4 linked regions of the Caenorhabditis elegans genome follow. The protein of the gene in region 1 interacts with the protein of each later gene in a pairwise test. Each region holds a gene or a part of one and is shown in the gene's direction. Other genes may lie near its edges.

Region 1 (8,174 bases):
AAAGAAAGCGATGGATCACTTTTCATGAGTGTAAGTCTATTTTAACAGTAGTAGTTTGAAATGCAATATATTTTTCAGGTTTGGCAAAAGACAAAAATCAGCTGGCAATTTAGAGATTGGGTTCCTAAATTGACTCCAGCACAATATCCATTCGTTGGTGCTCCAGTTGTTATGGATGTTGATTCGGACGGTGAACTCGACATTCTAGTACCAATCTGCCGTGAAGATGAGTGCTCACACATTACTCAAATGGCTTCTTGGTCGAAGACTAAACTTTGGGGATTGGTGGCCTGTGATATGCAAGATTATACAGTTATTAAAGAACCATTTTCACGAGTTATATTCCGCGTTGGAGAATTCTCGTTGGACAGTTTCCCTGATATGGTGGTTATTGCGCAGGCAACCAGAGTGAGTTTAACAATTTTTATTTTAAACAGGATGTGGTTGTATACTTTTAAAAAATGTTCTATGGCTTGATAAGGCGTTATGTATATCTGATTCTTTAAAAGTTCCAAAAATCAACCTCTTCGTCTATTGAATTTGAATTTCGATTTTTAATTTTCTTTGAGTTTTGTAAGAAACGCGGCCGTGTACTCTTCTCGGACAATTAACTAATTAAATTTTTGGATTTCAAGTAATTTTTCGCATTTTCTTGATTTCCCTCGGTATGTTGTAACAGATGCAGAGACGCATTTTACTTTAATTAACAGACCACTCACTCCTAAATACAGTAATGTATCTTGTTCTGCTGATGAATGACACTTCTAAAATCACATAGTTTATTCATTTTCCTGTTTTTCATTGAATAATCAATTTGATAGTGTTATCGATTTTCATTAGAAATAACGGGAAGTAACGAGAAAATACTAGGACATGGCCTAAAATTCAAAAATTTAATTAATTAATAGTACGAGAAGAGTAAAAATAGGAAGATCAGACTTGATTTCCCAAAAATAACTTCAGTTAACTGAATAATGCAAAAAAAATTACCTTTCATTAATCAAAATTTGAATAATTTCAGGCCAACACTCGCCCTGTGATCAAAGTAATGGACAATGCAGAATGTACAAAATGTGAAAAGAACGGAACACGACGATTCGAAATCCGAGCTCAAGAGAATATTCAACCAAAAAATATGTCTCTCGGAGTCATCAAAATGGGAACATTTTTTGATCTTCTTGAAGATGGATCATTGGATCTTCTTGTTGAGTATGAATACGGTGGTCAGACACGTTTTGGATTCATCTACTGCCCTGATAAAGGAGATACAACATTCTTGAAAGTTCAAGTTTTCACAGGAGTTTGCAGTGATCGATGCAATCCAAAATCAAACGAGATTGGATCGAGTATCAGTATGACTGGTGCATGTGCTTCTTTCTCAATGACAGATGGATGGGGAGGTAGTACACAGAGTGTAGCATGTCAAGTTCCGGCTTCATCAAATAGAGCACTTTATCTCCCATTTTTGTTGTATGGTCTTGGAAGAAGTCCAAATTTTGTGGATGAGGTAATTTCATATCTTCTAGATATTTTCGTTCAATTATTCCAAATAATCTTTTTTTCAGTTGAATATTGCCATTCCGAAATACGCAGATCGTAAAGAAGATTGGAAACACAGTCTTAAACAGATTGTTCCAAATTCTCGGATTATTGTTCTCCCACCATCGGATCAATATCCACACTGGACGAGTCGGCTCTACGTCACACCATCAGCTCTTATTGTTCAGGTAAGATTATTATGGAGACGTGGACATACGCTCCAAATGGGAACGACGGAAATTGATAAAATAAAATTAAAAAATAAAAGAAAAAAACTTTTCATTTTTAATGCATTCTTTAAACATAATTTCGGCATAAAAATCATTAAAACTAACGAAAAACATTTCAAAATGGTTGCAAATACGAATTCGTTGAATTCACGGGTTTGCTGCCAAATAACTAACGAGACCCATGGCTCGGGGGCGGAGCGTAGTCAGTTGGCCATGGGGCACATTTCCACGTCTCTATAATAAATCGATATTCTCATTTTCCAGAGTCTTGCCGTCATTGCTCTCGTATGCTGTATGCTTCTAATGGTTGTCGTATTCTTACATTATCGAGAGAAAAAGGAAGATCGATACGAACGACAACAACAATCTCATCGATTCCATTTCGATGCCATGTAGATTTTTTTGTGAATTTTAAGATCATATCTTCTTGAAGACGAGATCGTTTTTTACGGGTTCCCATCATTTGTCTCTTTTTTTGCATATTTGACCTTTTGAAGCTTCATCCTGTGTTTAGATTTCCCATTTCGAGCTGTGATTGCACGTCGGAGTATTTTTAGAGATCAGCTTTAAATCCGAGTTTTCCTTGTTTGAAAATAGAAACATTATTTGAAAACAACTGTAATATTTATTCCACGTGACCCCTTACCCTCCATCACTCTCTTTATAAACTGAACAGAGACTTTTTCGTTTTTTTGACGAACTATTAAAATAAAACTTTTTGAATTTTTTCCTAATGAAGTCAAATCCAAAATATTTTCTAATGAATGACGTGGAGCGGCAGAGCAAATATTCGCCGAAATATGTGAGTTTTCTTCAAATTTTTGTTAACTTTAACAAAAAGTTTCCAATTTCAGGTTCCAAACAACAGTCTGAAAGAGCGAATTCTGGAGTTTTTGGATTATTACATTGCGCCATTGAAACTGTAAGTTTCATTTTATGGAAAATTCTCATAAAAAACTCAATATTTTCAGGTATCTTCTGTCTTACCCGATGCCGGATTGCCTTTGGGACAATCGAAAATTGAGGTATTACATCGGAAAATCGTTGCAATGACATGGAACCCACATTCATTTTTTTCAGATTGAAGGCCAGTGGTGTGCAAGTGACTCCGAGCTCCGAACCAGTTCATATCGATGATCGTCTAATTCACATTTCACAGAAACAACCGTCCGAATGATTTTTCGATTTTTATTTAATAAAGTTTTAGAAATTATTTCATTTTTTTCAAGTTTTATCCGTGTTCTAATGGTTTTCTATTACCTTATTATTATTTCTTCAGTTCTCCAAAAAAAAATATTACCCAGACATAAAATGTTGAGGTTTTGTAACCTGGGTCTCGCCCCGAGAAAATTTTGTTAAATGCAGAAAGTTGTGCGCCTTTGGAGTACTGTAATAAACACTTTCGGAATTTTCATAATCGAATCAAAAAAGTTATTTATTAAAGAACTTAACTCCTATCAAGTCGAGAAAACACTGTAGAAAAACAATAAAAATTTGTATCCATTTTTACTTGAAAAATTAAAAAAACTGCAAAAGGCTAGACATTTCTTTTTAAAATTTCAAACTTTAAATGCAAATAAACCTAAAACTTCTTTTTTTTTCAGAAATAATGTCGGATCAGCTGGAAGCCTCTATCAAGAATATTCTCGAACAAAAAACGCTAAAATGGATTTTTGTGGGTGGAAAGGGAGGTGTCGGAAAGACGACATGCAGTTGCTCATTGGCAGCTCAACTCTCAAAAGTTCGTGAGAGAGTTCTTCTCATCTCCACCGATCCCGCCCACAACATTTCTGATGCCTTCAGTCAGAAATTCACAAAAACTCCAACACTGGTCGAAGGTTTCAAAAATCTCTTTGCAATGGAAATCGATTCAAATCCGAACGGAGAAGGCGTCGAAATGGGGAATATCGAAGAAATGCTGCAAAATGCTGCACAAAACGAAGGTGGAAGCGGTGGATTCTCGATGGGAAAAGATTTTCTTCAAAGTTTTGCTGGAGGACTTCCTGGGATTGATGAGGCAATGAGTTTCGGGGAAATGATAAAGTGAGTGTCAATGATTCTGATTTTTAAAAAATCTATTATTTTTTTCAGGTTGATAGACTCTCTTGACTTCGACGTTGTGGTCTTTGACACCGCTCCAACTGGGCACACTCTTCGTCTTCTTCAATTCCCAACACTTTTGGAAAAAGTATTTACGAAAATTCTGTCACTTCAAGGAATGTTTGGACCAATGATGAATCAATTCGGTGGAATGTTTGGAATGGGAGGTGGATCAATGAATGAAATGATTGAAAAGATGACAACGACTCTAGAATCTGTGAAAAAGATGAACGCACAGTTTAAGGATCCTGTTAGTTTTTCAGATTCAAGTGATATTTAAAATTACTACGGAGATATATCACCCAGACGCGAAAATTGTCGTAAAATTCTGCATCTTGGTAATATGTTTTTTTAACCTTTTCAATTATATCAAGGGTAAATTCTAGCTTGATATATATTGAATTCAGAGATTTTAAATCATCAAAGTTTCTGCAGAGCATTCAAATATGTATTTACAGAATTGCACCACATTCGTCTGCGTCTGCATTGCCGAATTCCTCTCTCTTTACGAAACCGAACGACTTATTCAGGAGTTGTCCAAACAAGGAATCGATACTCATAATATTATTGTGAATCAACTTCTCTTTCCGGATACCGATGCAAATGGAACAGTTTCATGCAGAAAATGTGCATCGAGACAGGCGATTCAGTCGAAATACTTGACAGATGTGAGTTTAAATGAGAAGTTTGATAAATTATTAAATTAGAAACTTTGAGCAAATTAATATTGAATAACCACAGTGCATTTTTGACTCTGTCGTGATTTGCTAGATGCGGAATAAATCAATTTTTCCAGATCGATGAGCTCTACGAGGATTTCCACGTCGTCAAACTTCCACTTCTTGAGGCAGAAGTGCGTGGAGGGCCCGCAATTCTTCAGTTCAGCGAACGGATGGTGGATCCTGAAGCTAACAAAAACTAAACTAATTTGTTCTCCTACAAAATCAACTTGTTCTGTGGTTTTTTATGTTAAAAGATTCTTCCTATCCCATGTTTTTTCTCCAAAATTCCCTGTCCCCTTATTTCTCGCTTTATTGTGGGTGCCTTTTTCGAATCAAATGAATAATTTATGATATTCATTGTTTTTTACTTAGGATTGAAGTATATTTGGAACATAATTATCTTTCAAACTTCAGCCTGGCAAACTATTTTTGTCAAGTAATCATTTTAATTAGCTAGATTTTAGACGTAATTTCTTTCAAATAGTACCTAGTATTAGGCAGCCGACAGGTCATGGGACCAAGCAGTACATTTTTCCGACTGCTAGACTTCATCCGACACTTACCTAGATTCAGAGAATTCAATTTTCACACAACTTGTTAAAATCTCTAGTTTACGAGCTTGTTTTTAACCAGACTTATGGATCCTGAGAATGGAGGGCCATGGAGCCTCCATGGAGGGGATGGCAGTTGGAGATACAATGATTTTGGAGTAATTTTACCTTCGTATTATTTTTCATGTGATTTCATTTTCAATTCACTTAGCCCCGTTTCCTAATGTTCAAGTTGCTATTTCCAATTTATTTTCCTTGGTCCACTTCATATTCCTTGGAATTTTTTCTGCATTCAAATTACCAAATAGCCACGTGCAATATCCCATTCTCTGCAGTTTTGAAATTTGAATTTATACAATAAACATGAGTTGTCAAATATTCAGTCTTAATCTGATATTAGTTCAAATATATTCCAAATCAATTCCAAATATATTCGAAATATATTTCAAATATATTCCAAATATATTTAAAATATATTCCAAATATATTCCAAATCTATTCCAAATATATTCCAAATATATTTCCTATTCTACTAATCTTTTTCTCAATTTCTGTGCGAAATTGTGTTATTATCGTACCAGGGAACAGAGATATGACCAAATCTGTACTCACTGTTCAGATTTTTTATAAAAATGGTGAAAAAAGGCTTTGGATAATTCCAAACATTCATTTGGCAGAAGCTGGAAGTTAATGAAACACACACCGCAGCTGTTAAAACTTATATAAATATATTTTCTGTTTCCAAAATTATAAACTTGTAAAATAAAACCGTTTCAAAACTTTCACGATCGAAAATATGATGCGTGCCAAAAGGACGTCAGAATATATTTGGAATATATTTGGAATATATTTGAAATATATTTGGAATACATTTGGAATAGATTTGGAATATATTTGGAATAGATTTGGAATATATTTGGAATATATTTGGAATATATTTGAAATATATTTGGAATATATCAGTTTCCGGTAATTTTTGTTTGTCCGCTAAGATACTTTGTCACCCAAAAGTTTGTTATCACGGAGAATTGATCAACTATGCTTGATTTATTGCTTTTATACCCCTTATGATCCTTTGAAGCTGAAGGATCAGATCATCAGGAGGTACCCATCTGATCCTTTGAAGCTGAAGGAACAGATCACCAGGAGGTACCCTTCTGATCCTTCGGAGCTGAAGGATCAGATCACCAGGAGGTACCCTTCTGATCCTTTGAAGCTGAATAATCAGATCATCAGGAGGGATCATTGTTCATACATTCAATTGTGAGTAGTCAAGGCCGAAAATCCATGGAAAATTGCATTTAAAAACTTATTCCAGTGAAAAAAAAACAAAAATCGATTGAGAAATATATATAAAAAACTAGTTGAAAAAGTTTGTCACCGAAGATACGCCCGGTCAGAGACAAATGGCACTTTGTCGACTGGATACCATGTCACTTTGGATACTTTGTCCCCAAAAATACCTTGCCACCCTAAAAGTTTGTCCCCTCGGAATGAAGGCCATTTTGATGCATCTCAATCATCTCCAGATTCTTTGCAAGAAGATCATTACTTGGTGCTGGAGGCGGAGACAGAGCAAGAGCTCTGCGTGGAGGGCGTCGTTCTTCTTTTGGCTGAAACTTGAAGACATGACAACAATAACGTCGCGTATTGCACTTTTTTGAGAACAAAAAATCCACATTTCATCTGGAAAATATTTTTTGAAAAACAGTAAAGAAGAAAAAGAAGGAAATAGAAAACCATTGGAACACGAATAAAATGTGAAAAATAAAATCATTTCCCCGTTTCATTGAAGCAAAAGTATTATGTAACAGAGTTAAAAAGTGATGGGAAAGTTTGGCGAACTAGTATTGACTAGTAGTATAATAGTGTTACAAGCATAAAGTTCAAAACAAAAGATGAAAATTTAAGTAAAAAAAAATTCTATTTAATGTACATGGAACTTTTGATGTTTATTTCTCTGCGAGCTTCTCAAAAGTCGCAGGACAGGAGTTTTCGGCTCTTCCACGTGTGGTGAAGGTGTTCGTTGAGGCGTTCCTCTAATTTGCACAACAGCTTTGGCAGGCGGTGCCAGAAAACAGAAGCGGGCATTTGTCGATTTTGCGATCGGTATCTCAGAATCCATTGTTCCTTATTTTATAGAGTTTCTATGTGCATGAACGGATTTCAACGAAAGATAGGTATGATGGCAACACGAGCACACCGTCGGTTGAGTGATGTGATGCACATTTCTCATGTGCTTCCTCACATCATCGGCTCGAGTCATCACAATTTGGCACATCAGGCATTCCTGTGGTGTCATATGATACTTCAATCGATGATGGTTTAGTGCCGCCAAGTCCTTGAGCTTAGAACTGCAGACATTATGCAACATTTCTTCCATATTCTCCACTTCGACGTCTTCTCCATCTGGTTTTGAATCGATTTCCATCACAAAGAGATTTTTGAATCCTTCGACCAGTGTTGGAAATTTAGTGAATTCCTGGCTGAAGGCATCCGAGATTTTGTGGGCGGTATCGGTGGACACGATTAGAACACTCTCACGGACTTTTGAGAGTTGCGTTGCTAATGAGCAACTGCCTGTCGTCTTTCCGACACCTTTTCAGGCTACAAAAATCCGTTTTAGCGTTTTTTGTTCGAGAATATTCTCGATAGAGGCTTCCAACTGATCTACCATGCTGAAAAAAGTATTTATTGTATTTGAAAAAATAATCAAATTGATTTTGGAGCAATACCAGAGAAATGGAGAAATACGGAGAGAAGCAAATAGATTTTTTGTTAATTTTTGCAGCTAAATATAAGAATGATATCAATGTACTTGAAACATTCAAAAATTTCATAAAAGATTAACAGAAATTTTTTAAATTTTAACTATTTTTTCAAATTTTTTAAACAGTTTTAAATGTATTTTTGTCGGTTTTCAGTGAAATTTTTGTTAAAAAATAAGAAAATTAAGAAAAAAAGCTAAAAATGACTTTTAAAAAAATTGAAATTCGTTTTTTGGCGCAAAAAGTTAAAGGGACATGAGATTT
Region 2 (8,403 bases), on another chromosome or scaffold:
GAGTGCTAAAAATAGCTCACGGACAGGCAACAACTGCAGATATTGTGACGTAGAAACGCTAGCCGAAGAGTAATTTGGCAAGGCTCCTGAGAATTTGTACGTCATCACTCAATCAAAGAACTGAATATATGCAGCTGCGAAACAATTTATATAATATTTTCTGATATTGTGAAGGATTAAAAATGTGAAGAAATAGCTGAATACTGAAATATTGAACAACTAACAATTTGTAAGAGTAGGAAGGAAACAATTTAAATTGTTATTTTCTAAAATGAGGAAGAGTGGAAGGGGTTCTTATGGTAAATACCAACGAACAGCTGTCCGCGTTGCGTAATTGTATTTATGACCCGTTCTGTACGAGATACTAGACGCAGCATGAGAAGATAGACATTGACCGTTCAACGGCAACCGGTCGGCTCAATTGATTTTTGAGTAGCCATGGGAACATGTGTGAGATAACTTTAGATCAGGGTGTGAGCCGCAAACGATATGTTTCGGTAAAAATAAAATAAAATAAAACTTTATTGAAATTGAAAATGGTGAACCAGTGAGATTATGTGCCCTTCTTACTTTTTCTCGATTTCTGAAATTAATGTTGAAACTTTGAAGTGAACATTGTTAAACTCACATCCCTCTTCAGTTTTTTGTAGACAAAATCAAATCTTTTCTCTGAAATATAAAAAAAAAGTTGGGCGAAAATCAAAGCTATAGTTTTACAATTAAAAAAATTACCACAGATTTTGCAGGTTCCTTTTTCCCAGTATCGATTGCATCTTCATTGGTCACATGCTGAGTGCTCTCAATCTCTCTGCTACGTGGATCCGATTGCGTCTTATCAGTGGTTATAGTTTTATCTTTCTTCGGGATAATGGATTTCTGGGACTTCTGTTGAACAGGAGGCGGCTGAGCAACTGAAATCGGCTGTGCAGTCTTGGCACCACCTGATGGAGTTAAAGCTCGAATTGTTGGTTGTTTTGAGACAGGCTTCTTTTCCATTTCAACAATGTTCTCCAATGTTGCACCATCCTGATTTGGTGGAACGACTGGTCGTTCAGGCATCTGGTATTGTGCAAGAGGATTTTCGTCGTCCTCTCCAACAATTGAATCTCCAGTTTTCTCAGGTCTATCCTTTTTCGTTAAACGTTTCGCCATTTCTTTGAAAGCGTCATCCCTGAAATTTTTTTGTGCATTTTCTAACTTTATCTGGAATTCATTTTCAAAAATGTTGATGCAAACTTTAGAAAATTGGATTTTTAATTTGTTTTCAGTCAATTCGGAAAAAACCAACACGTTGGTACAACACACGCCAATAAACAAATATATGGAAGCACTCACGTGGAATCTGGTTCTTTACTGGACTTGACTCCGTTCCGACCTCCTTTCGTTTTTGTTGAACCTCTGTCATTCTCGATTGTCGTGAACATTGCGGTTGCGGTGTGATTCCCTGGAATTAGATATAATTCTCAATTATTTAATTACAAAATTCAAGTTCTAATCTGCGAAATAACATTAAATTACCGGTGGAGTGATTTCCAATGTGGTATCCTTCTTTTCCTTTTTAAATTTTGCACAAAACACGAGAAAGCTATTACATGATATTGCAAAAAGCATCGAAATAACAATTATAATGATCATTATATTGACAGTTGAATTGTACGCTTGACCAAATGAAGAAAGTAGAAATACATTTTCATGGGTAAATTTACTTTATCTTTTTCAAATCAACGTTGTTCTAATTAGTGGGAAGAAAATTAAAAGAACACAACGTGATTCAAAGTTGATATTTTACCATCCACGTTTGTCTCGGTAGTTTTTCTACGAGCATTATAAATTTGTGTGTCGTCGAACTCCACTCCGCTTATTTCTACAGATTCCAGACTAGCGCGGCAGGGACATTTTTTCTTGAAATTTCAAAGTTTGCACATTCGATTCCAATGAACGTTTCAAACTGAGTCTACTTCATATATTTTCTGTGGTTTTTTAGCCAATGTTCTTGTAATTTGTAAAAAAAAATATGTAACCTAAACCTTATTTTGAGCAAAAATTCATTTTCATTCAATTCACACATGAAAGACAAAAGGCATTGATAATTAAAAATCATAAGTAATTGTTTTAAAAATTATATATCATAGCGAAACCGAAAGCACGCGATGAACATGAAAAGCGAAACAAATTTGGCCGAAGAACCGTTGAAATCACAGAATATCGTCTCCAATTGCAGATCCTTTACGAGAAAATGATCGAAGAGAGCCAGTGTCAAATGAGTGACTTACACTGAGATACGTACGAGATATTCTGAAAATTTCAAGATTGATTTGGAGTTTGTTCAATTAGCAGTATTTTCTAGGAGATATTGTGCATCTTTAGATACCTATGTACTATTAAAATTTTTTGTCACATAAGAAAATAAAATGCAGAATATCTACAGAAAATACCTGAAGTTTGAAAAAAAGGTTCACCGCAAAACACTCGAAAACAAGATCAACCACACTGAAAAAGTCACACAAACCAGTAGACAAATTCAAAAAAAAAGAGAAGTAAAACAGTGCGTAACATGTTTGAATGAATGGCGGATACCTTCGGATACTGTTCCACACTTGCCTAGTACCACGCCGTGACGTGGATTGCTGAGCTCGAAGCAGAAGCTCATTTTGACATTCATTGTCACTTATTGAGGTACGACTATCACCAACATCTTCATCGTCGTCCTAAAAATGTTGAAATTGATTTTTAATAAAAAAGGACGCTTACTTTGACAATGACATAATAAGCAGTTAAAAGTGCTGCCGTGTTAGCAGCCATTGTTGTAATGGAGAGAAGCGGTTGCAGATGTCCAGTCACCAATGCTAATACCATTACTGTAAGATAATCTGTTTTATTGATATTCTTCACAACGAAATTCAAAACCAGAGGAAGAAGTAATTGAGAAAACCCTCTGAAAAATAAAAATAAACACGAATTCAATTTCGTCCTTACTGTATCAATATAATTTATGATGGTCGAAAAATTGTCATTACGCGATTCCTGATTACCTATATAAAATTATATTATTCGAATTCTGAAAATGTTCCCTACTAATAGGCGGGTAATTTGAGTGCACCCTAGGCCAAATATCTTTCATTTAAAAAATTGAAACGGGAAAAAGCAAACGGAAGTTCGAGGAATACCACGTGATGTTATAGGTCATTAATATTTAATCATCATCTATTCAAAAGGGTCAGACTTTTCTAGTTTTGAAAAATCTTGTGAACTTCATGTTTTGATGCTTATTTTATATGGTTGCTTGAAATTAAACGTGTCTTCAAACACGAGGTTCAAAATTCTTGATCAGCAAAAACTGAACTTTAGAACACCACAAAAACTGTGACTCACGGGCATTATTATTCTGAAAATGATTTATGGTGAGCGACAGTGTTGTGATGAATGCAGTTGGAACTTGAACAACGAGAAAACTTATTGTTACAGTCGTTATTAGAATTCGTGTTTGATCTCGAGGAGTTCTTCCGAAACGATTGCTGAAATTAATAGAATTGAATAAAATTGGTGGTGAGAAAAGTTTCAAACTGAAATAGACTAGAAAATAAACGGAAATTGAAGGAAATTAGTTGGAAATTAAGACTACAGTTTTCAACTTCTTTTTGCCTGCCTGGAAGGCAACATTTCAATTGAATTAGAAGACATTTTTAAATACTATTTCATCTGAATTCGTTCGAAAAACACCGCCTTAAAACTAACTGTTTTGTCAAATCGCCCATATCAATTTCGGGTTCTCGAATGAATCCAACATGAAGAAGAGCCAGTAGAACTCCAGGTATCACAAATTGAACAGCAAAATCCGCAAGTGGGAGGAATACCTGAAAAATTGGTTTCATTTGAGACCAGGTACATTCAGAGTACGACATCAATTCTGACTCAATAATTTTTGCATAAAACCTCCCCCACATTCATGATCTACATCATCAAAATCATATAAAATAGACAATGTTCGAATGAGAATTCGTATCAGATCATTTATTCACTTTTCATATTTTCTCTTTCTAATTTGAAGAGAACACTATGTACTCAAAAGCTGTACTACTTGCACTTCTGGTTTGCTCAGCTCTTGCCGCCCCAAAAGCAAAAAAGAACCAAACGGGAAATGAGCAAAATCAGCAAAGCCAGTCAGGTCAGAGACAGACTGGACAAGGCCAGCAAGTAGGATCTCAGCAAGGATTCGGAGGAATGCAAGGAGGATTTGGAGGGCAATCAGGATTCGGTGGTGGAAGCTCCCAGGGAGGGTTCGGTGGATTTGGACAGCAAGGTGGATTTGGAGGAAACTCTCAGGTAACCTTTCAACATAGCTCTAGAAACCTGTTTCAGAAAAAAGTAAAACAAAATTAAAAATTTCAGGGTGGATTCGGAGGACAACAAGGAGGATTTAGTGGAAATTCTCCGGTAACGTTTAGTGCTTCATACGCCTTCCACGTATGCCTAGGTCACCTTGAAGGCTCCCTACGCCTATTTTGCAGTCGTCTTTGATATCTAGCGGCGCGACTGATATAGTAGTTACTAGGCACGCAGGCAGGCATTTTGTGACTCATGGAAGACGTAGTACTAAATCAGATACTAGTTTTGCAATCATGATGTCACGAACAGAGTAATAAAAAATATTTCCAGGGTGGTTTCGAAGGACAACAGGGAGGATTCGGTGGATTTGGTCAGCAAGTTGGTTTCGGCGGGCAGGTTAGATAGGAAATTTGTTTAGAAATTTTTAAACGTAACAAATATAGGGAGGATTCGGAGGTAACAGTCAAGGTGGATTCGGAGGTCAGCAAAGCGGTTTTGGTGGTCAAGGACAGCAATCAGGATTTGGCGGAGGTTTTGGAGGAAACTCTCAAAATGGATTCCCAGCTCAGAGACCATCCCAACAGTCTGGATTTGGTGGACAAGGAATGCAATCTGGATTTGGAATGAACTCTCAACAGGGAGATTTCGGTGGACAGGGACAGCAATCTGGATTTGAAGGAAACACACAAGGACACTCCCAAGGAGGATTTGGTGGGCAGTCGTCTTCTGGATTTGGAGGTCAGCAAGGTGGGCAAGGTGGACAAGGTGGATTCGGAGGATCTACTAGAACCGGTGGAATGCAAGGAGGACAAGGAGGACAAAGTGGATCAAGTGGGTTCGGTGGATTCGGAGGCTTGGGCCAAGAAGGACAACAGGGTGGACAGGAAGGATCCAATGGAAACAACAACCAAGGATTTTAATATGTGATGTTCAGTATTTCATCTAAAAACTGGTAATGTGTTCCACTGCTCTTTTTAACGCTAACTTTAATGTTTTATTTTGACATTTTTAATAAATATTGAAGCATTTTTACAAACACCTCTAAACTCCTATTTCAAAGTCCACTTCGAACTTTAACAAATCGGATTATTCATTGAACAATTTGAACATCAAACGTATGTTTTTACTCGACAGTTTTCAAAAACCACATTTGCCGAACCACGTCATAATCCCATAGAAATCGGTGAAACACTGTGTATAGAGAATATCCGTTATTACAGTAATGTTCAAACGTTAAACAACTATGATTTTTTCGTTTTGTTTTGGAAGAGGGAATCCCCGAAAAGTTATCCAACCGGTATTTTCTCGATGGTATAAAATGAGTTTTTATTGGCTCAGATATCATCAACTTCTAATTTTCAGCCATTTAAGGTTTGTTTGAGAATTTATAACCTCACTTCTAAATATTCGATTACAAAGTTTTAAAAATCCTAAATTTCAGAAAACAATGTCCTACTCCTCTATGATTTTTGTTCTCCTCGTTAGTGTTGTACTTGCCGACGACCAACCAATTCCTCCACCAGTTCAACCAGGCATGGAAGGACAGCTTGGAATAGGGCAACCAGGTTTCAATGGACAACTGCCGGGACAAATTGGAGGAGTTCAACCTGTGATTGGAGGAATTGGGGTTCCAACACTTCCAACTTTACCAACTCTGCCGAGCCTGCCGACACTTCCAACAATCCCACCACCAGGAGTTGCACCAGGTGGAGTTATCGGACAACCAGGAGTTGTCGGCGGAATTAATGTACCACAACCAGGAATATAAATTTTTGCGCTTTGTCTTTTTATTCATATTTATTGTATATATCACAACTTTGATTCAAATAAACTTGAATTTGAATTTGAAAGAAAATTTGAAGGCAACATTATCAAAATAACATTATTTGGGAGAAATTAATCTCAGAATATTGAAGAGCATTAAAACTTGGTTTTGATAATTAGTGAATAAGAACCAACTATACTGGAATTATCTATTCATAAAAAATTATCATGATGTCTTTGTCTGTTTTTACAATAATGGTTACAATAATGGTTAATAATGGTTAATTTACAATAATTACAATAATTTTTACAATGACACATATTTACAAAAATACCATAGCCTGCTTTTAACGCGTCTATAGTCAACGTACATGTGCAGTTTTTTTTTCATTTTTAATTGAGCTTTTGGAATGAAAAAGTAAGAAGAATCACTAACTAAATACCGTTTTCCAAAAATTTTGCTCAACATTTTCTAGCTCAAATGCTGTTTCGATTTAGAGATCTCAAACGCAGAAGTAGATTTTAAATTGGCATATTGCTACTATCACTTTCTGAAGAAAAAAGCTTTGCATAGAGTTAAGCGGCATTGTTTTGTTTCAAAAAAACTTGAAAAATTCGCATTTTGATCGTGATCAGCGCAGCAACAAAACAAGTTCATATTATAGCTATTTTGCCTGTCGATCATACGGCTTTTCACCATCAAACCACTAAATCCCATCATTACACAGACATACTCATTGGCGCCCACAGAGTTCGAGAAAAATTCGTTGATTCACAATGAGATTTACATAAGTCCACCATCATATTTTTGGTATAAAACGACCGAGGGAATCGTTGAAAAGGCATATACTTTCACCAGTATTCTTTAATTCTTCATCAACATGTTCTCTACTAAACTCGCAGTTCTTCTCTTAGTTGTCGGTATCGTCATGGCTGCACCACAAGGTGAACAGGGAGGTCAACAAGGAGGTCAGCAAAGTGGTCAACAGAGCGGACAACAGGGAGGACAAATGGGGGGACAGCAAGGAGGACAAGGTGGATTCGGAGGATCTACGGGAACCAGTGGAATGCAAGGAGGACGGGGAGGACAGAGCGGATCAGGAGGATTCGAAGGAAACGGAGGATCAGGCTCTGAAGGACAACAAGGTGGACAGATGCGAGGTCAACAAGGACAGCAAGGAGGACAAGGAGGATTCGGTGGACAACAACAGAGCAACTAAATAACTTTTTAAAGATGTTTCCCACACTATTTTGAAATAAATTCATCACGATTAGTATTGTGTAAAAACAGAAACATAGGTTTATACTATTGAGATCTCCTTTTTTGAGCGTATTAGACGGGCTTGCTGTGATTTTAGTGAACTTGCCGTTAAACAGGACTACGCAATTCATACTGTGAAACGGAAACAAACACTCACCTTCCAAAACGATCGATTCACAATATTTATCAGAGCGCCATCTCGAACCATACATCGCCCAGCCCATTGAGGTGTTGGTTCAGTATCTGTATTTTTGAAGAAATTAGATAGAATTAGATTGTTTCGGTAAAGTTTGTTTTTTGTGGAAAAGATGAACCACTATTCAAATTTTGCAACAAAAAAACTAACAACTCACCCATACAAAACTGGTATACTTTTGTGTCGTGCTCGAAAAACCTCAAAATCGCCAGTGTGACACATACAAAAATAATGACCCAAATAGCTCTTGAAAATCGTTCGACCGTTCGAAGTTTCAGTGTATTTCGATGATATTGAGTTAGAAATCTTAAAATATGTATGTTTTACAAATGTAAAAGAAAAATAAAGAAAATATTGCTCAAAACCTTGCAGCGGCCAGCAGCACCGAAAATAAAGTCATCATTGTGTCTGTCATATGTGGTATTGTTTCCATTGAAGTTCGAAATAAATGACACATGGCAATCGATTGATTTAATGATCTGAATCCTTTGAAGTTTTCTTAAACTTAGATTTTAGCAACTGACCGTGTGCCTTCACCTACGAAATAGTACCATACAGTGAAGGGAAGAGGTGAGAGAACACTGAGCCATCCACAAAATGTTAATAACCAGATCATTTGGTAAAGTGGATTTGGCTGAAATTAAATTGGTAATTTTTAAGGTGATCTATTCAGGTTGTATCTTTGATTAAAAAACTAACAAATCTTCGATCTCCTTCTCGTTTCTCTCGTTTTCCCATTCCTAACATGACTGCACATAAAGGTGCAATAAGCATCAGGAGAATCATTGGATACGCGAATCCATATACAGCCATATGTGACCAGCCATTGTTAAGACGACCGAACATAAAGCCAACG
Region 3 (7,806 bases), on another chromosome or scaffold:
TCCGTTTCACCAAAAAAAACTTCAAGCAAACCTTGGCCCCCAAATGGATCAATCAAAATTGGTACATTGTATCCATTGATCAGGGAAACTGAATACACGTCTTCATCATTTGATTCATTCAAACTGAATTCAGCAACGGTGAATGGGAATCTACCGATTGTTCCATTGCATTGTTCACGGTTCTGAAATAAAGAATTGAAAAGAAAACTGCGTCCATTATTAAATAATTGTTGATAAAATTTCGGTTTCTTGAAAACTTCGGGTTGAAACAGTGATTCATATAAACATGAAAGAACCAAATTTTTATGCTTTTCTATTTTGCTTTTTCTTACCCCACAAGTTCCAGTTGCACATCTCATTCGAGAATCACACAACGTCCTTCCCCAAATTACACCTTCCCAGCCATCTTCCACAGAAATTATTCGATTTTGCTCGTTTCCCAATCGGAAGCCGCCACCTGAAATGAATATTTTAATATCGATACCTGATATGATGACTCAACATTGCATTCACAAATTGTCAATCGTGAATTCCCAATGTGAAACAGTAACAATTTTTTGAACTTGAAACATGTTTTCTTAATACACTATACAAACTAGGAAATAGTTTACATGCCTACATACCTATTTTAATGCCTATACAAGTGCCTAGCTACCATATCAGCCTTACCTTCAGGGTTCCCGGGACCCACAATTCCTGGCCAAACTGGGAATGGGCAACGATTGAAAATATTAATTTTTCTGTCTCCGAAAGAGTTCAAAGGGAATAGAAAAGCTATTAGAAGGAAGAGCATGTTAAGCTTGATATTTTCCAAATAAAATCCCTATTTTTGTAGTGTAACTGTCCAAGTTTTGATAGGTCATTTGTGTTGGTTTAGATGGCGGTTTGGAGTTGAAAAACAGGAAAAAATAAATGCTGAGCAAATATGTGCATAGTTTGTAAAAAACAAAATGAGTTATTTATAAGAGTTAAGAGTTAATAAGAGTAATATAATTGGCGATTATTTGATTTCGAGGAGGCTGAGCATTGGCAATTTTTGTTTCATGCTTTTGATTTCATCAACACTAAAAACATCTTACTTTAGTGAGACTGCATCTATATAACAAATTGCCTTTTAATTGATTGAAACTCTTACAAGATCCTGAAAAACTGAACAAGAAGTAAACAAATTTGTTTCAATCTCATAGCAAAAAGTATGGCTATTATTGGGGACCCTTGTGTCACTAATTTTTATACCGGAGTGCTCGTAATGAGAAAATAAAATCTGACATTGAGAACCAAGTACGACCTCGTATTACTCGGATTGAATTTTAGGGTTTCCAACTCCTGTTTCCATTTTCCCCAAAAATTGAGAGAAGATCCCTGACAAAAAATAAATTTTTTGTGCAAATAATGTATTTAGTCAGTCAACATTTTCAACATTTTCAAAAATATGGGCTTTGAGCCCATTTTATTCTCACTTGCAGCCCAACAACATCCAAATTTCAAATTTTTATTCTACAGAACTTGAGAGTTCACATATTCTATCCGTCGAGGGTGTATCCTGGCAATGCCTTGCGGCAAAGAACTGTGACACTGGAGGCACAAGCTGGTCCACGAGCCGAGTGTTCCTTTCCTTGGTAACCATATCCGTACGACTCGTTGCGAACATCAACCTTGGCAAGGATCTGTTTTCCGCCTGGCAGGTTAACGACTCCAACTGAGATGTCTCCCTTGTGGTTGTTAACGTGAACTGGCTTCCAGATCTTTCCAGCATCAAAGTTGGCAGCTTCTGGGAATGGAATCCATCCATACTCGTATCCAACGACGTGTGGTCCAAGACGAACAAGCAATTGAATGGATCCAACGTTCTTGCAGTATTCGTTGTTGAACCAAGAGAAGTTGGCAGCAACCTAAATATTCCAAAATTAGAATTTCCGTCATTCATAAGATCCACAAACCTTTCCTCCCTCATTCCAGACACGACCCATAACAGGTTCACCCTGCATGTACCACAAGGCAACATATTGATCGGCACTGACTCCTGGAAGAGTATCCAAAGACTTATCCAAAGCTTGAACAAGCTTGCGAGTAGGCCATGGATCTCCCTCTCGGATATCGATCCATTCGTCGTGTATGACACGTGGTGGTGGTGGGCCCGGTGGTGGGATTGGTGGTGGTGGTGGTGGTTTAGGACAGTTCTCGCATTCGCAGTGTGGTGGTCCTCCGATGCAGTTGCGAGTGATGATGTACATTTCATTCAACTGTGGACCGACTTGTTTGATCACCTTGCCATTGAACGAGAACCATCCTTCCTCCGTCTTATTGTCAACGTATCCAAGAAGATTGCCTTCCTTTCTCTTCCAGAAGATTGGGAACGAATCTCCACAGCGAACAAGTTGATGTTTGTCGTCGATCTTCTCAATACGATCCTTGTATTTGATCCATTCATACCAGAATCCTGAAATGTTTATTCTCTTTAGCCCAATTGGTTCAATCTTTCAATTTGGTTAACCAGTTCAGTCAAGTTAACCAAACATCCTTATCTAAAGCCATCAAGCTCACCTTGGTTGTTGTGATCTCCGACATACTGGAGCACCTGAATTTGTCCCTCGAGCTGTTGCTTGGTCGTCAACTCTGCCTGCTTGTATGGGAATGAGCATTCAACCACTCCTCCGTTGTTCCAGGAACGTCCATGAATTGGTTTACCATGTTTGTACCAGAGAGCAACATACATGTTCTGCTCTCCCATACATTTGACAGGACTCGGCGGGAACGGTGAACCAATCGGCTGGAAAGCCCATGTGTCTTCTTTTGGTGGCGGATTCGGCTTCGGCGCCATCGATGTTGTTTACGATGATTGAAGGCGATCGAAGTATTGTTCCAATATGAGCAAATATGGCAATTTCGACTCCTTTTATAGGGAGATTCTTTTTCATTAGGGAGAGGTTACCAGGGGGTCACATTAAAATTTTGGCACTTTAGATGTTCTGAAATTTAAAAAAAAAAGTGTTCTTCTGTTTTTGTATTTAGCGCGGTTTCACGTGTTTAAAAACATTTTGTTGAGTTGAAAAAATAGTTTCAAGAATTAACTCATGAAGCAAAAATCTAGGGTTACAGACGCAACTGCTAATTAAGATAGGGATGCGGCTTCGCTCAGGAGCCGCCAAATTTTTCTCCACTTTCTCAGCAAAGTATATATATTTTTGGTCCAAAGCAATAAGTTATTCAGTATCCTTATTCCATAACTTTTTAAAAACTCACTTACAGAGCTTACTTACTTCGGCTTGTTACAGTGCTGTATTATTCTAAAGAATGATTCACATCAAAATTCATATGTCATTTTTGCAAGTTTTTTTATTGATTTATTGTACTTCTTTGACTATTTTCGTTTGCTTTGTATTGATTAAGCTCGGATCACAAAAATCTAAAACTATACTCGTTTAAATGGAAATGTTGATAAAAATGGACAATTTCCCGATTGCTTTTTGAGACCTCTTTTAATTTGTATATTTTTAGCTTTTTTAATGTAAATAAAAATTTTCCATTATTTGTATAAATAAATACAGTTTTCTATTTTCTTGAAATTTGATGCAAATTTCTGGACATTAACATGATCGACTTCTTATTTAAATTGGAGAGCAAACGTTTTCTAGTTACCATATACTTTTCCAGGAACTTATTGTCTTTATCAAAAAGCGCTAGAAAGTTGTCAGCCATTTGATTAATTTGACACACTGTAACTTCAATTTTTGATGCCGTATTCATTATATTAGTATGGGCTCCCTATTAGGCTTGCACTCCCTAATAATATTACAAGCGTGTTTTACGTGTTGGTTTAGCGTCTGATAGTTCATTGAGTTCATCAAAAATGTACAGTTTATTTGGATAAAAAATAATTAATTTTAACGTAACCTCCTCCTTTTGGTGTATATAAAAGGTGTTAAAATATGAAGAAACGTTCAGTTCGAATCTTTTTAATCGATTCAAGCACATCGTATAAACGCGACAAAACGACGGAAATATGATGAGCCCGTTGGACTATCTGCATGTCACTTTGCTGCTCATTGGCCCACTTGCCATTCTCATCGGATGTGGAGGAAAGAAAAAAGCACCGTGAGTTTACAGGAGCTTCAGGAATTAAAATTACAGGTCTTATTTTTAGACCACCAAAGTCGGCATCCAAGATGACTGCTCCACCTGCTCCTGCATCAGCGCCTCCCGCTGCTCCAGACGCAGCCCCTGCTGCTCCTGATGCTGCAGCTGCACCAGCTGATGGCGAGAAGAAAGATGGTGATAAGAAGAGTGAGATGAAGGAAGGAGAGGAAAAGAAGAACGAAAAAAAGGAAGGAGATGAGAAGGACGAAAAGAAGGATGAGGAGAAGAAGGATGGAGATGATAAGAAGGACGAAAAGAAGGACGACGATAAGAAGGACGAGAAGAAAAGCGACAAGAAAGATGAAAAGAAGGATGACAAGAAAGAGAAGGATGAGGAGAAGAAGGATGACAAGAAAGAAGACGAGAAAAAGGATGATGACAAAAAAGATGACAAGAAGGAAGCCAAGTCCAAGTCCAAGAAGTCCAACAAATCCAAGAAATCCAAGAAGTCGAAACGAGAAAAGAAGGATGATAAGAAAGATGAGGATAAGAAGGACGACGACAAAAAGGATGACGACAAGAAAGATGATGTGAGTTTATATTTTAGAACCCTTATTTGAGCAATCTTCTAACCATACATTTTCAGGAGAAGAAAGACAACGAGAAAAAGGAATAAACATTTCTTGGCCGATCTCTTCAAATTCGAACTTCTAAAGTCAATAAATGTCTTATTTTGAAATGTGTTTTGTTTTCTTATTTTTATTCCTGTTCGTCGATGTGATTGAAGTATTCTTGTACAACCCTTCCAGTTTTCTGTAGGTAGAGGTAGGCGGACAGGCATGCAGATTTATTTGACAAGTAAGGCAATGTCGTTCAAATCAAGCTGTTGACGAATATCATCACGATCTTCAGATGTATATGTAGAATATCAGATTGATTTGAGATTGCTTTCTTCAAAATTAGATTCTTCTGAATCCAACAGTACTTTGCAATAATTGCTGATTTTTGGTAGTCTGATTTAATTTTTTTACCATTTCTTGTTTCTTGGTTTCTTGAAATTCCCTTCAATTTTTCTTGGCTGTTTTTAACCAAGAATTCTTGTTTCTAGTTTTTTGGCGGAAATAATTTCTCGCGAATCCCTGGTGCCTGGTACGTAATTTTAATAATTTGCACAAACTTTTATAATATCACTTTGAATACGTGACGTTCACGAAAAAACTAAAGATTTATATTTACACTACATATTAAATCACGGAACATCCACGAAAAATGTTGAAAACAGCCTCATTTCAAGTTTTGCCAATTTTGGAAGATCTCCATTCTATAGAAGTAAGAAATACACAATGAACTCGCAAAAGAAAATGAAGGAAGATATCAATTGTGGAGAAATTAAACTGATCATTGAAAGCGTAAAAGATTTCAAAAAAATCAGCTCTTCAGTTGGCACAGTTATCAATCTGCCATGGTAAGTTAAAGTTGGTGTTGATATTTTTTGAAAATAATCTTGTATTCAGGAAACTTATACTCGAAAATCGGATAAATTGAAAATCAATTTATCATGTAATGAAGATTCGGCAAACACTTTGTGGAATTGTCAAGCGGATATTGTTATGCAACTAAGCTATTTTGATACGAAATCTGAAGCTCGAAAGAAATTGGAAACAATTTTCGAGAAAAAATTGTTTGATTCCAAGAACAAGAAATTTGAAGAGTCAATGGATCAATGGGCTGAGATTTTCAATGAAAAACGTGAACTTGAGGGAACTATTGAAGTGACAGCTAATCTGAAAATAACAAAAGTTCAAGGATATCGAAAAAGGAAAATGTTTGATTACTCAACGGATCATCATCGTTATTTCGATGGAATTCTTCTTGTTGAGAATAAGAAAATCCACGTCAATAAGAAAATTATGTCAATGAGTTCTACATTCTTCGAGAATATTTTCTTTTGTAATTTCAAGGAGAAGGAAGCGAAATTTGTTGAAATCCCAGGAGTATCTTACGATGAATTCATGATATTTCTTGACTTCATTCATCCCACCGGGCGACAAATTGAATCTGGATTTTTGGAGAATATGATGGTTCTAGCTGATTTATTCATGACTGATTGCGTTATGAACTCTTGTGAAGAATTTCTCATCAAAACAGACAAAGTTGATATGGCAAAAAAGTTGATATTGGCTGAGAGATTCTCGTTGTGTGAATTGATGGTAAGTTGGAAATCTTTTATAAAAATTGTACAAGCACACTTTTTAAGGATCACTGTCTCAATAGCTTCAAAACGGTTCGAGATTTCTTGCCGTTTGCAAAATTAGAATTCTATTCTGAAATCTCTGATGACATTAAATCAGCCCTCATGGAGCGTCTCGTTCAAATCAAACGTCTTGGTCTTTCCTAATTGTTCTATTTCAATAAAGCTTGAAGAATCGTTCGAAAAGAAATGTTTATACAGCATTTTATTCACATCTACTTCTTCGTTTTTAATGTCGCCAAACATACCACGCGTTTGATTGAATTTCCTCAACTGTCGCTTGACTTTCTGAAACTGACGCAAGCATTTTCCAAAAGGGCTTGTCGCGGGAGGTCGTTCCCCTCCTCGATTTTGGCGATACAGTTTTCCCAGTAGAAGTAGCGTTTGTTCATGTCCTAAAAGAAAGTTCTACACCAGGAGCATGCGGCACTTTTTCGGCAAACGCACAAAACTGTATCACCATATTACCGGTACAGAGAATGTAGATAGTTAGAGAGTAACAGACATCCGGGACCCAATGGGGCGGGACGCGCGGAAGAGACGATTTGTGTCGATTTACGAAATTTTCCTCGTTGTCATCATTTCGTAAATCGACACAAATCGTCTCTTCCGCGCGCCCCGCCCCATTGGGTCCCGGATGTCTGTCACTCTCTAACTATCTACACTCTCTGTACCGGTAATATGATAATCCGAGTTGTTTGAGGTTCGTTCTATCATAATATAATAAGTTTCTTGTTTCTTGATTTCTTGGTTTTCTTAGCATTTTGACAAAATTTTCTTGTACTTGTTTCTTAAGCAAAATTTTACCAAGAAATTTCGAAGAAATGTATTTTTTAGAGTTCAAAAGCCGCAAGATGAAAACGCTCAAAGCATGAGGAATTCTGCTAGTGTTTGTTCATGTGCCAAAATATTCGATCACAGACTTTACCATTCAATAATTGCTAATTTTTGACAGTCTGATTTAATTTTTTTTTTCTTGGTTTCTTAAACTGCGCATAACTGGTAGACATGCTCAAATGCTCCCGTATTTTAATGAAAAAGAAGTACATTTACGTGTGAAAACAATATTTAATACTTTGATTTCAAAATATCTCACAAACACTTTTTTGGCGTGACACCCTGACACTATGTGACCTTTGCAGCCCCCTGAATGAGAATCCATAGGAGAATCAAAATCAAACAAAAATCAGTACGAATCTTCATATTCGATACAAAACATCGTATAAACGATACCAAGCGACAAGAAGACGATGAGCCCCATGGACTATCTGCACTTCATTTTGCTTCTCGTCGGCCCACTTGCTGTGCTTGTTGGATGCGGAGGAAAAAAGAAAGCACCGTGAGTTTATAGGAGTTTCAGGAATAAAAATTACCGGTTCCCTTTTCAGACCACCAAAGTCTGCGTCCAAGATGACTGCACCACCTGCTCCTGCACCAGCGCCTCCCGCTGCTCCAGATGCAGCCCCTGCTGCTCCGGA
Region 4 (7,598 bases), on another chromosome or scaffold:
GGAACAGATTTGGAGTAAACTAATGATGAACGGGTAGGACACCTGTTCCAAGTTTTTTTTTTGATTTGTCATTTGAGTCGGAAGGATGAGAAGCGCGGAATGTTGGAAAACGACATTTCATTTTATGAGCCACCAGATGGAAGAGATTTGACAAGCAGTTTACGATGTGTCATTTCACACTTTTTACCGCTCAGTGAGAGGTCAAGCTTCTAAACATTTCTTAGATTCCCAGGAAATTTTCGTTTACGTCAGCTCTCAATATATTTACAGTTTATTTAAAGACGATATTTTTCAGAGTAAATTTTAATTTGGTAAATATTTTCCAAAACCTTACCCGTTTCTTTTGTGAACTTTTCAATTCTAATAACTTTTTAGGTATAATCAAAAGTTTTATAGAAATAGAGGTCATAAAATATTATATATCCGTATTTACTAACTCAAAATTTAAAAAATCATCATGGATCATCATGGTTTAAAATTTTGGCATTTTTTAAAGTTGTGATGTTTCTGTGATGATTCAAATTTGAGCTATAGCGGGATCCGGCTTCAGTAAAGTCTTGCCCAAGTTTTGTCAAACTAAAGTTGGCTAAGTAGTTGACATCAATTCAAGTGAATAAATGTGACTTCTGGTGTTATTTTTTTCAGATGTTATCTTAAAATTCAATGAAGAGAAACAAAAACCAATAGGTAAGGAGCATCCGGTGATCTGAAATCGGCGCTAAAATCCAAAGCATTCAACTTCCCAGAAGCCTCTTGCTCAGAAGACATAACAATCCAAATGCAAATTTTATATTTTCTTAACCCCTAGATCACTCTTTTGAAGTTTCCTACAATCTAGCGAACACCCATCGTTAGAGCGCATTTTCCTGAATTAGTCATCTATCTTCACTTCTTACTTTCACTGACCACCTTTCAATGATTATTAATCGCGTCAATCTGAAACATAATGAGATTTGAAGAGAGTACATAGAAACAGAGAGAAATCCATCTTGTTTTAGAATAGACAGTCAGTTATCCATATCCTTTCAATCATGTCTCTCATCCGTCACGCTCTGCTCGTCTCTATTATATTAACTGTAATTCCAGCACAATTCAATATTCCATTACCGTTTGGTGGTATTTCATTGAATAAAAATAAAAATGGAGAGGTAAGAAAGCTTGGAAGAAAAGAAAAGAAAACAACTTTCAGCTGGAAATTGGCGGAAATCAAAACTTCAATTTGTTTGGTTGGGGAGCAAATCGAGACTTCAAACTGACGACTGGAAACGGAACGTTCAAATTAGATAGTAAGTGGGCAAAATAAATGAAGGATTTATTTTTCACAACAAGAGAGGGAACAAATGAGTATAGAAATTCAAAATGCATTCAATCGACGGAATGACTCTTCCCTCTCTCGGCTCATAAGCTTCAGAATGAGCTATTCATACATTATTCTTTAAAAGAGGCACACAGAAAATTCAAACTATGTTCTGAATAAGAAGCGAATAAAAAATGAATCATCTGATTATGGTTAGTGCCAGCTATTTTTTTGTGTTTCTCTATTCGAACTCCTCATCCGTGAACAATTGAATTTGACATTGAAGAGAATGAAACAAAATCAACCATACAACTAGGAAAAATACGAGGAGCTCAAAAATCTATCTGGAAAATCTAGGAAATCTAGATCTTATCATATAATTTTTTGAATTAAAAAAAACAATTTAAAGGTATGTAAGTAATTTATATAAGGAAACACAAACAATACCAAATTGAAGTTTAATATATATGGACTGGTAGAGAAACAGTTGAAAGTTCGCAGTAAGAACCCAATTTCTTTTGAATATTTATTCAATAGTTTACTATGAATTGGTTCAATCAAGACTAAATTCTTATATCGCATGAATGAATTTAATATTTGAAAAATGATGTAAAACCTTTTGAATTGATTCAACACTAATATGTTTAAGCTTTATATTTTCAGAAACTGATGAAGCAATTCTAAATGGGTCAACTTACGGAGGCAGCGGCTCAATTGGTGTTGATGAAAAAACTGGAATCGATATTGGGCAGAATCTGACACTTGACGACAAAAAATTGGTGGTTAGTTGGGAGTTGAAGAGCAAAAAGATCTTATTCAAATTTAAATTTTTTCCTGATATTTGTCTCTCTTATTTTTTCTCACATCTTTCCTTCTCGATGCTTATTTAAATGAGGTTTTGCTAGATGTTGAAAAGATATTTGAGAGATTCAAGCACTAGATTTGATTTGTTTTGTTTTCAGGGAGGTCTTGGGAAAGAAATGAACTTTTTGGAAAGTCTTGCCGCACTTTTCAAGCCGGCTGCACAACCATCCAAAGAGAGGACGGAACTAAAAAATATCTGAAAATAATTGGAACATTTGTGTCCTATGGTCAAGGTCGGCTTCACAAGTAATGTAACTGTTGTTGATTTCTATTCAATGGGCGGAGTTACTCTTCTTATCTATTACATTTACCACTTTACAAATGTTTCTTCCTGTATTACTTTGTTTCTCATGATCATCTCATTTCTTTGTTTATGGATTTCAATCACTCATTTCTCATTTTATTAAAAGTTCTTTTGATAAGTTATTCGAAACAATTGAGGGTTTTATGGTTTCTACTTGCTTTTATCAATAATAAATGAAAACTATAAAAATTATAATTTATTTTCAACATGCCGTATCAAAAAATCAAAACTTCGCATCATGATATATTTCTGAAAAATTAAAATTTTGGATCAAAACATTTTTTTTTAATTATTATCTTTTCAATACTCCCAAAGTGCAATTTTGGACATTGACAAAATTGTTTTCCCGAAACATCTGAAAGTAATCTGAGAGCCCGTGTATGACGAAACAATACTGAAAACGTAGTGAAAAATTCAATTTCTATCTCTCAAAAATTCCAGATAATTCTGAAAAAAATACTTATGCAAATCTCGATTGTCATTGTTCCATGCCATCTTGATCTTTTCCTTCCTATTCTCTATTAAATTTCCTTTCGTCCAGTGGTCATATAGACACTCGATTGACCTTCACTTTTACAACAAACTAATTGCCAATTGAATGATGCCACAACATGATGGTCACAATCTTCAGTCTCGAACAAAACCGTTTTCATTTCCGTGCCTACTTTTGCAGATTCAACGGAACTTGGCAGATCAACCATGAATCTTCCGTTAACCTTGATATTTGTTTCTGTTCTAATATCACTGGTCTCGTCGCTTGGAGAACTTCCTGAAAATACAGAATCTGCTGAAGATGCTGCATTTGTTCTGAACTCAGGAGATTTTAGAAGGGATGAAGGGGAAGATGTCACAGTTATTGATGGTCCAACTCCGCCATCTGTAGTTGCTGCTCCACTAGATCCACTTCCAGAAATGAGCATTCCAGTTGCAAGACCACCAGGCAAGCAATTATATGGGATATACTTTTAATTTTGAAACAAGTTCAGGTTTCCGTCCACCCCCTTCTTTCAAATCAAAAAAGGATTCTGGGGAGCATGCGGAGCCGTCAAATGTTGGGGTAAGTTTTATTTATTTTATTACCTAATTGAATTTATACACACATACATATAGAACTCCTCACTAACTAATTGAAAATTCATTCAATCATATTTCTATATTCAGTTGCCAAAACTTTCTAAAAAAAACTCATTTTAATATTTCCAAAACAAGGCAACTTTTAAAAACCGTTTTAAAACCCATTTAAGACATTTTTCAAAATAGTTTAGTTCCTCCTACTTCTTCTTTTTACCCAAAAGCACTCAATTTCTGAGTTTGTAATCCCATGTTTCACAGTTGGTTCCGATCTATGAACAACTCACAAATCTTCTTCATTTTTCAGTTCGTCGTTCGTCGTGGTCGAGCAAAAGTTATGGGTTTCTCCAGGAGGAAGTCTGAATCTACAGACTGATTTTTATTTAATTTTTTTACTTGTGTTTGCAACTATTGAAAAAGATTTTTGAAAAAGTGTTATACAATAACATATGTATGCCTGATTTTTGATCAGATAGCAATATTTGCATCTTTGTGAACTATCATAAATCTTGCCCATCTTACCTTATCTAAAACTACTAATATTTATAGGCAAAATTTAAATTGCCTCTAATGGCTGGAGAATTTTAACTAAAGCAAAACGGAATTTAGTTTTTTTGTTTTACTTGAAGCAGATGACAAGTCTGATAAGAACTTACTTTTTGTCTTTCTATGTCGTGCTGATTCTGCATATTTTTTACAAATTTTCTTCGATATGGTTGTCAGGAACATTTCCACAAATAATTTTTCAATTTTCCACGTCTTCTCCTTGTATCATATCCCCGATCAAAAAAAGATTGCAAAAAATGAATGGTTTTTTTTTTTTGCAAAATCTTAGTCATTCTGCACGAAAAGACATTTTCGTCTTGCACAATAAAAAAGCAGAAAGGATATAAATGATTTCAGCCAATTCCTCTTCAGCATCTCCTCCTACTTGTTCCTTTTGTCTTGCGTGATCTATCCATTGAAGCGCGCAATAGATGATATCATCAGAAGACGTTGCAAACGCACAAGACATCGTTGTGTTTCCGGCGTTTGCGGAGAGCAGACGCCAGTTTTAATCGTTTCTTGCTCTTCTTTTGCGTTTTTTTTTGCCGAAAAAAAGTGGTTTGCCGACGACGGAGGCGGTTGGTGGCCACGTTCTCGCCGTTTTTGTCCTCTGCATAGTCTTTTTCATCTTCTTCTCCTACTTCTTCGGCTTGTTGCAAGACATCCCCATATAACGTATTCTGTGTGCAAGTGAGTGCTCATGTCCTCTTCGTTTCTTCCGGGGCACCCGAGGAGAAGAAGAAGAAGCAGAAGGGTCTGAAGAAAAGAAGGAAAAGAAAAAATGGAGTGTTGGCACGGAATTTGAATTTCATTCGGGTGTTTCGACTTACTACCGGGGGAAAATACATTTTTGAGTGGACACACTAGCTGCATGTTTACCCGCAAAAAGTAAGTAAGTTTAAAAAAAACATTTATATATTTTTGAAAAATGGCAAAACATTGCGTGATAGTTCCAACCAAACATCCCTTGAAGCTTCAGTTCTAGTGAATATGTCAATATTCAGAAGCAAGTCTTCATTCTTGTACTGTATTTTCCAGGAGAAACATTCATTTTTAACCTAACTCGCCTACTCTAAGAAGTGTATCTAAAAATTTCAGAGTGAGCTTTTCCTGTACAGAAGACTAGACATTAAAGTTTGGTTACATTATGAAATAAGGAAATCTACTCACTTATGGAATTGTATTATTTCAACTTCATATATTCAGAGCACGATTTTGGAATTTCATTCATTCTGAACACCACCCGAAATGTTTTTGCCCCTTCCTCTTATTCCAGATTTTCAGTTTAGATTTTGAATGTTTTAATTTTTGCTCACATTTGATTCAAGAATGTCAGCTATGTTTCTAAGAAAATCAAGTCGTGGATTTATTGTTGAATTCCTAGAACCAAAATCTCTAAAAACTCTTCAATTCATTTTCAAGCAGTCTATTGGTTGATGTCCTTGTTGCTCCAATTCACTTTTTTACTTCCGTTGTTCCGATTATTTTTGTTCCTCGTTCTTTCATGGTGAATTGGCTAAAATATATTTTCACAAGAAAGTAGGCATGCATTAGTTTTCAGGCAAGTTACGCCTTCCATTTCCACTGGCAGACCTCTTGGTGTGGCCAACTATTTGTTTCCATAGTAGTTATTAGATTCCAAACATCTAATTTAACTTATTTTCAACAATCAGTGAATGAATTATAAGCTCAACTGCTGCTTTCATTAAGAGAACAATCAGTCACATGGTTTTATTGAATGGCTTTTCCTCGGAAATGTGCTCTTTTCCATGTGACTCAGTTCAGATTATCCATCAGCGCCAAATGTTGCCTAACATCAAAAATAATAAATACCAACAATCCAATTCGGAATGTTTATCTGAAGAATTTTCACATGATCCGAAGATCATGTCGGCTCAATTTCATTTTTCTTTTTTGTTACACTAGAATTAGATGACCCCAATCATTCTGTGAGGCACGTGAACGTCACACTTAGGTTCGCATGTCCTTGGGTCTTGTTTCTCAGTGCTTTTCATTTCACTTCTCTTGTTTCTTCGTATTGGTTTTTTTGCGTACATCTTGTTTTTGTCGTCTTCAATTCCCATCTCCTCGTTTTTTCGATTCCCTTTTTTTGGTTCATCTTGGCAGATGATTCGCAGATTCTCCGAACTGATATCAGCTCATTTTCTCTTATTTCACACCATTTCAAGCAAAATGTCCTTGATGAAAAGAGATAAGGATGGGGGAGTGGGAACAAACAACAAAACAAGCCGTTTTTGGTAAAAGATGATCGAAAATCGAGAGAAGGTGGCAGACAGTCTGTCATAGACACTTGCCAATCTGTCTGCGGGGTGTATTCCTATCTTGAAATAATTTCGAGGAAACACGCTTTTCACCGACAAAAGACAGCTGTTTTATAGACGATCGCGGGGTGGCGGCCAAAGGGGCAAACAATTTGAAAGGCATCGTGCGTCATGAATTTTTTGTAAATTGTTTTGTTTTTGCTCACAGTTGGTTTCGATGCCGCTGTAATTCAATTTTCGAGACATTCGTGTTTTTTAAATAATTTTATTTGAAAGAAAATACTGTAGTTTCATTATAACTGAGTCATTTTTCATCGAGAAGGAAGCAAAAAAAAAAAACAACAAACAAACTCACTGTCAGCTCAGTTTCATCCGTTGACTTACTGACGTATGTTTTATCACATCTTGAGATTTTTAATCTTTAGAATCAAATAAATGTTGAAATCAGTTTTGAGCGTTTTTCATTTTTTGGTTTTCTATTTATTAAAACTAGGTTGTTACGTGCCTGTCTACAACTAATTTTTTGGAATCCAGATTGGTCTTTTTTCAGAGCAAGTTAGCAGATTTTAGTATTTCATTACATATGTAGTAGATGCACTTCGAAAATTTTTCAAATTCAAGTCAATTTTAATTCAAATTTCAATTTCGCTTTCATAAGCAGATAATTAAAATCAGAATTATAAGTTTAAGTGTCCTTTAAAAAATTATATTTTATTAAAATTTAAGAATCGACTTCGCATGATTCGAAATGGTTTTTTTTTTTCAATTTTGAAAGGAATAACCATGCTTTGTTAAACATTTCCACGAAAATGTATAAAATTGCTCATATTTCAGTAATTCTTGGGATTTACACGAAATTTGAATTAGCATTTTAAAAACGATTAGAGCGGTTCTAAACGATTTTCGACTGGTGTAATTTATATTTTTGGAAAGATTATATTTTAACATTCCGCAATTCTCCTGATCTAGTTTTCATTATAGAGACTTGTCACAAAAACAGTTATTATTCCTCATTGCATTCTCCCTCACATTTGTTCTCTTTTTATGCATTCCCTTGTCTTTCTATGTTCCCTCTACATCGATTATTAGTAACGTGTCCTTGGTGCACATGATCACACTATAAACATTGGTTTCCTGGTCCTCTCTGTCGCAGTTTTCCATTTGATTTCTCCTCTCGCTTCCAATTTCTCCATTCGATTAGTTTTGTGTGTTTGCATTACTTTTTACTGCTTCG

Evidence for each region.
Region 2: the proteins of asna-1 (region 1) and K01A6.4 interact in a two-hybrid assay, tested with the Caenorhabditis elegans proteins (one large-scale study listed by BioGRID).
Region 3: the proteins of asna-1 (region 1) and cylc-1 interact in a two-hybrid assay, tested with the Caenorhabditis elegans proteins (one large-scale study listed by BioGRID).
Region 4: the proteins of asna-1 (region 1) and spig-17 interact in a two-hybrid assay, tested with the Caenorhabditis elegans proteins (one large-scale study listed by BioGRID).

Annotation. Positions count from the first base shown.
Region 1 is NC_003281.10:8,891,711-8,899,884, forward strand, and holds asna-1 (ATPase asna-1), read left to right. Parts: upstream 1-3,371; 5' UTR 3,372-3,378; coding exon 3,379-3,812; intron 3,813-3,860; coding exon 3,861-4,119; intron 4,120-4,327; coding exon 4,328-4,537; intron 4,538-4,665; coding exon 4,666-4,791; 3' UTR 4,792-4,944; downstream 4,945-8,174. Other genes in the region: lnkn-1 (Protein linkin), read left to right, coding at 1-30, 79-408, 1,022-1,507, 1,566-1,727, 2,034-2,165; ZK637.4 (uncharacterized protein), read left to right, coding at 2,503-2,571, 2,624-2,691, 2,741-2,794, 2,850-2,946. UniProt on the Caenorhabditis elegans protein: ATPase required for the post-translational delivery of tail-anchored (TA) proteins to the endoplasmic reticulum. Recognizes and selectively binds the transmembrane domain of TA proteins in the cytosol.
Region 2 is NC_003282.8:11,735,938-11,744,340, reverse strand, and holds K01A6.4 (Glycine Rich Secreted Protein), read left to right. Parts: upstream 1-4,036; 5' UTR 4,037-4,056; coding exon 4,057-4,323; intron 4,324-4,389; coding exon 4,390-4,434; intron 4,435-4,656; coding exon 4,657-4,722; intron 4,723-4,769; coding exon 4,770-5,246; 3' UTR 5,247-5,352; downstream 5,353-8,403. Other genes in the region: K01A6.5 (uncharacterized protein), read right to left, coding at 637-669, 733-1,171, 1,336-1,444, 1,593-1,635; K01A6.7 (Collagen-like protein), read left to right, coding at 5,774-6,094; K01A6.8 (Glycine Rich Secreted Protein), read left to right, coding at 6,972-7,310; K01A6.6 (G_PROTEIN_RECEP_F1_2 domain-containing protein), read right to left, coding at 2,196-2,295, 2,578-2,708, 2,752-2,858, 3,373-3,515, 3,736-3,854, 7,509-7,594, 7,705-7,853, 7,913-8,026 and 2 more.
Region 3 is NC_003282.8:5,221,906-5,229,711, reverse strand, and holds cylc-1 (Lipoprotein), read left to right. Parts: upstream 1-3,939; 5' UTR 3,940-4,003; coding exon 4,004-4,095; intron 4,096-4,144; coding exon 4,145-4,667; intron 4,668-4,723; coding exon 4,724-4,753; 3' UTR 4,754-4,818; downstream 4,819-7,806. Other genes in the region: thn-6 (THaumatiN family), read right to left, coding at 32-182, 333-457, 670-793; nsph-4.1 (Nematode Specific Peptide family), read right to left, coding at 1,524-1,892, 1,941-2,440, 2,545-2,821; Y59E9AL.8 (BTB domain-containing protein), read left to right, coding at 5,540-5,542, 5,592-6,287, 6,335-6,475.
Region 4 is NC_003280.10:6,170,511-6,178,108, forward strand, and holds spig-17 (FMRF-Like Peptide), read left to right. Parts: upstream 1-3,138; 5' UTR 3,139-3,164; coding exon 3,165-3,405; intron 3,406-3,451; coding exon 3,452-3,522; intron 3,523-3,843; coding exon 3,844-3,912; 3' UTR 3,913-4,053; downstream 4,054-7,598. Other genes in the region: F40H3.3 (uncharacterized protein), read left to right, coding at 1,032-1,148, 1,190-1,286, 1,961-2,079, 2,260-2,361.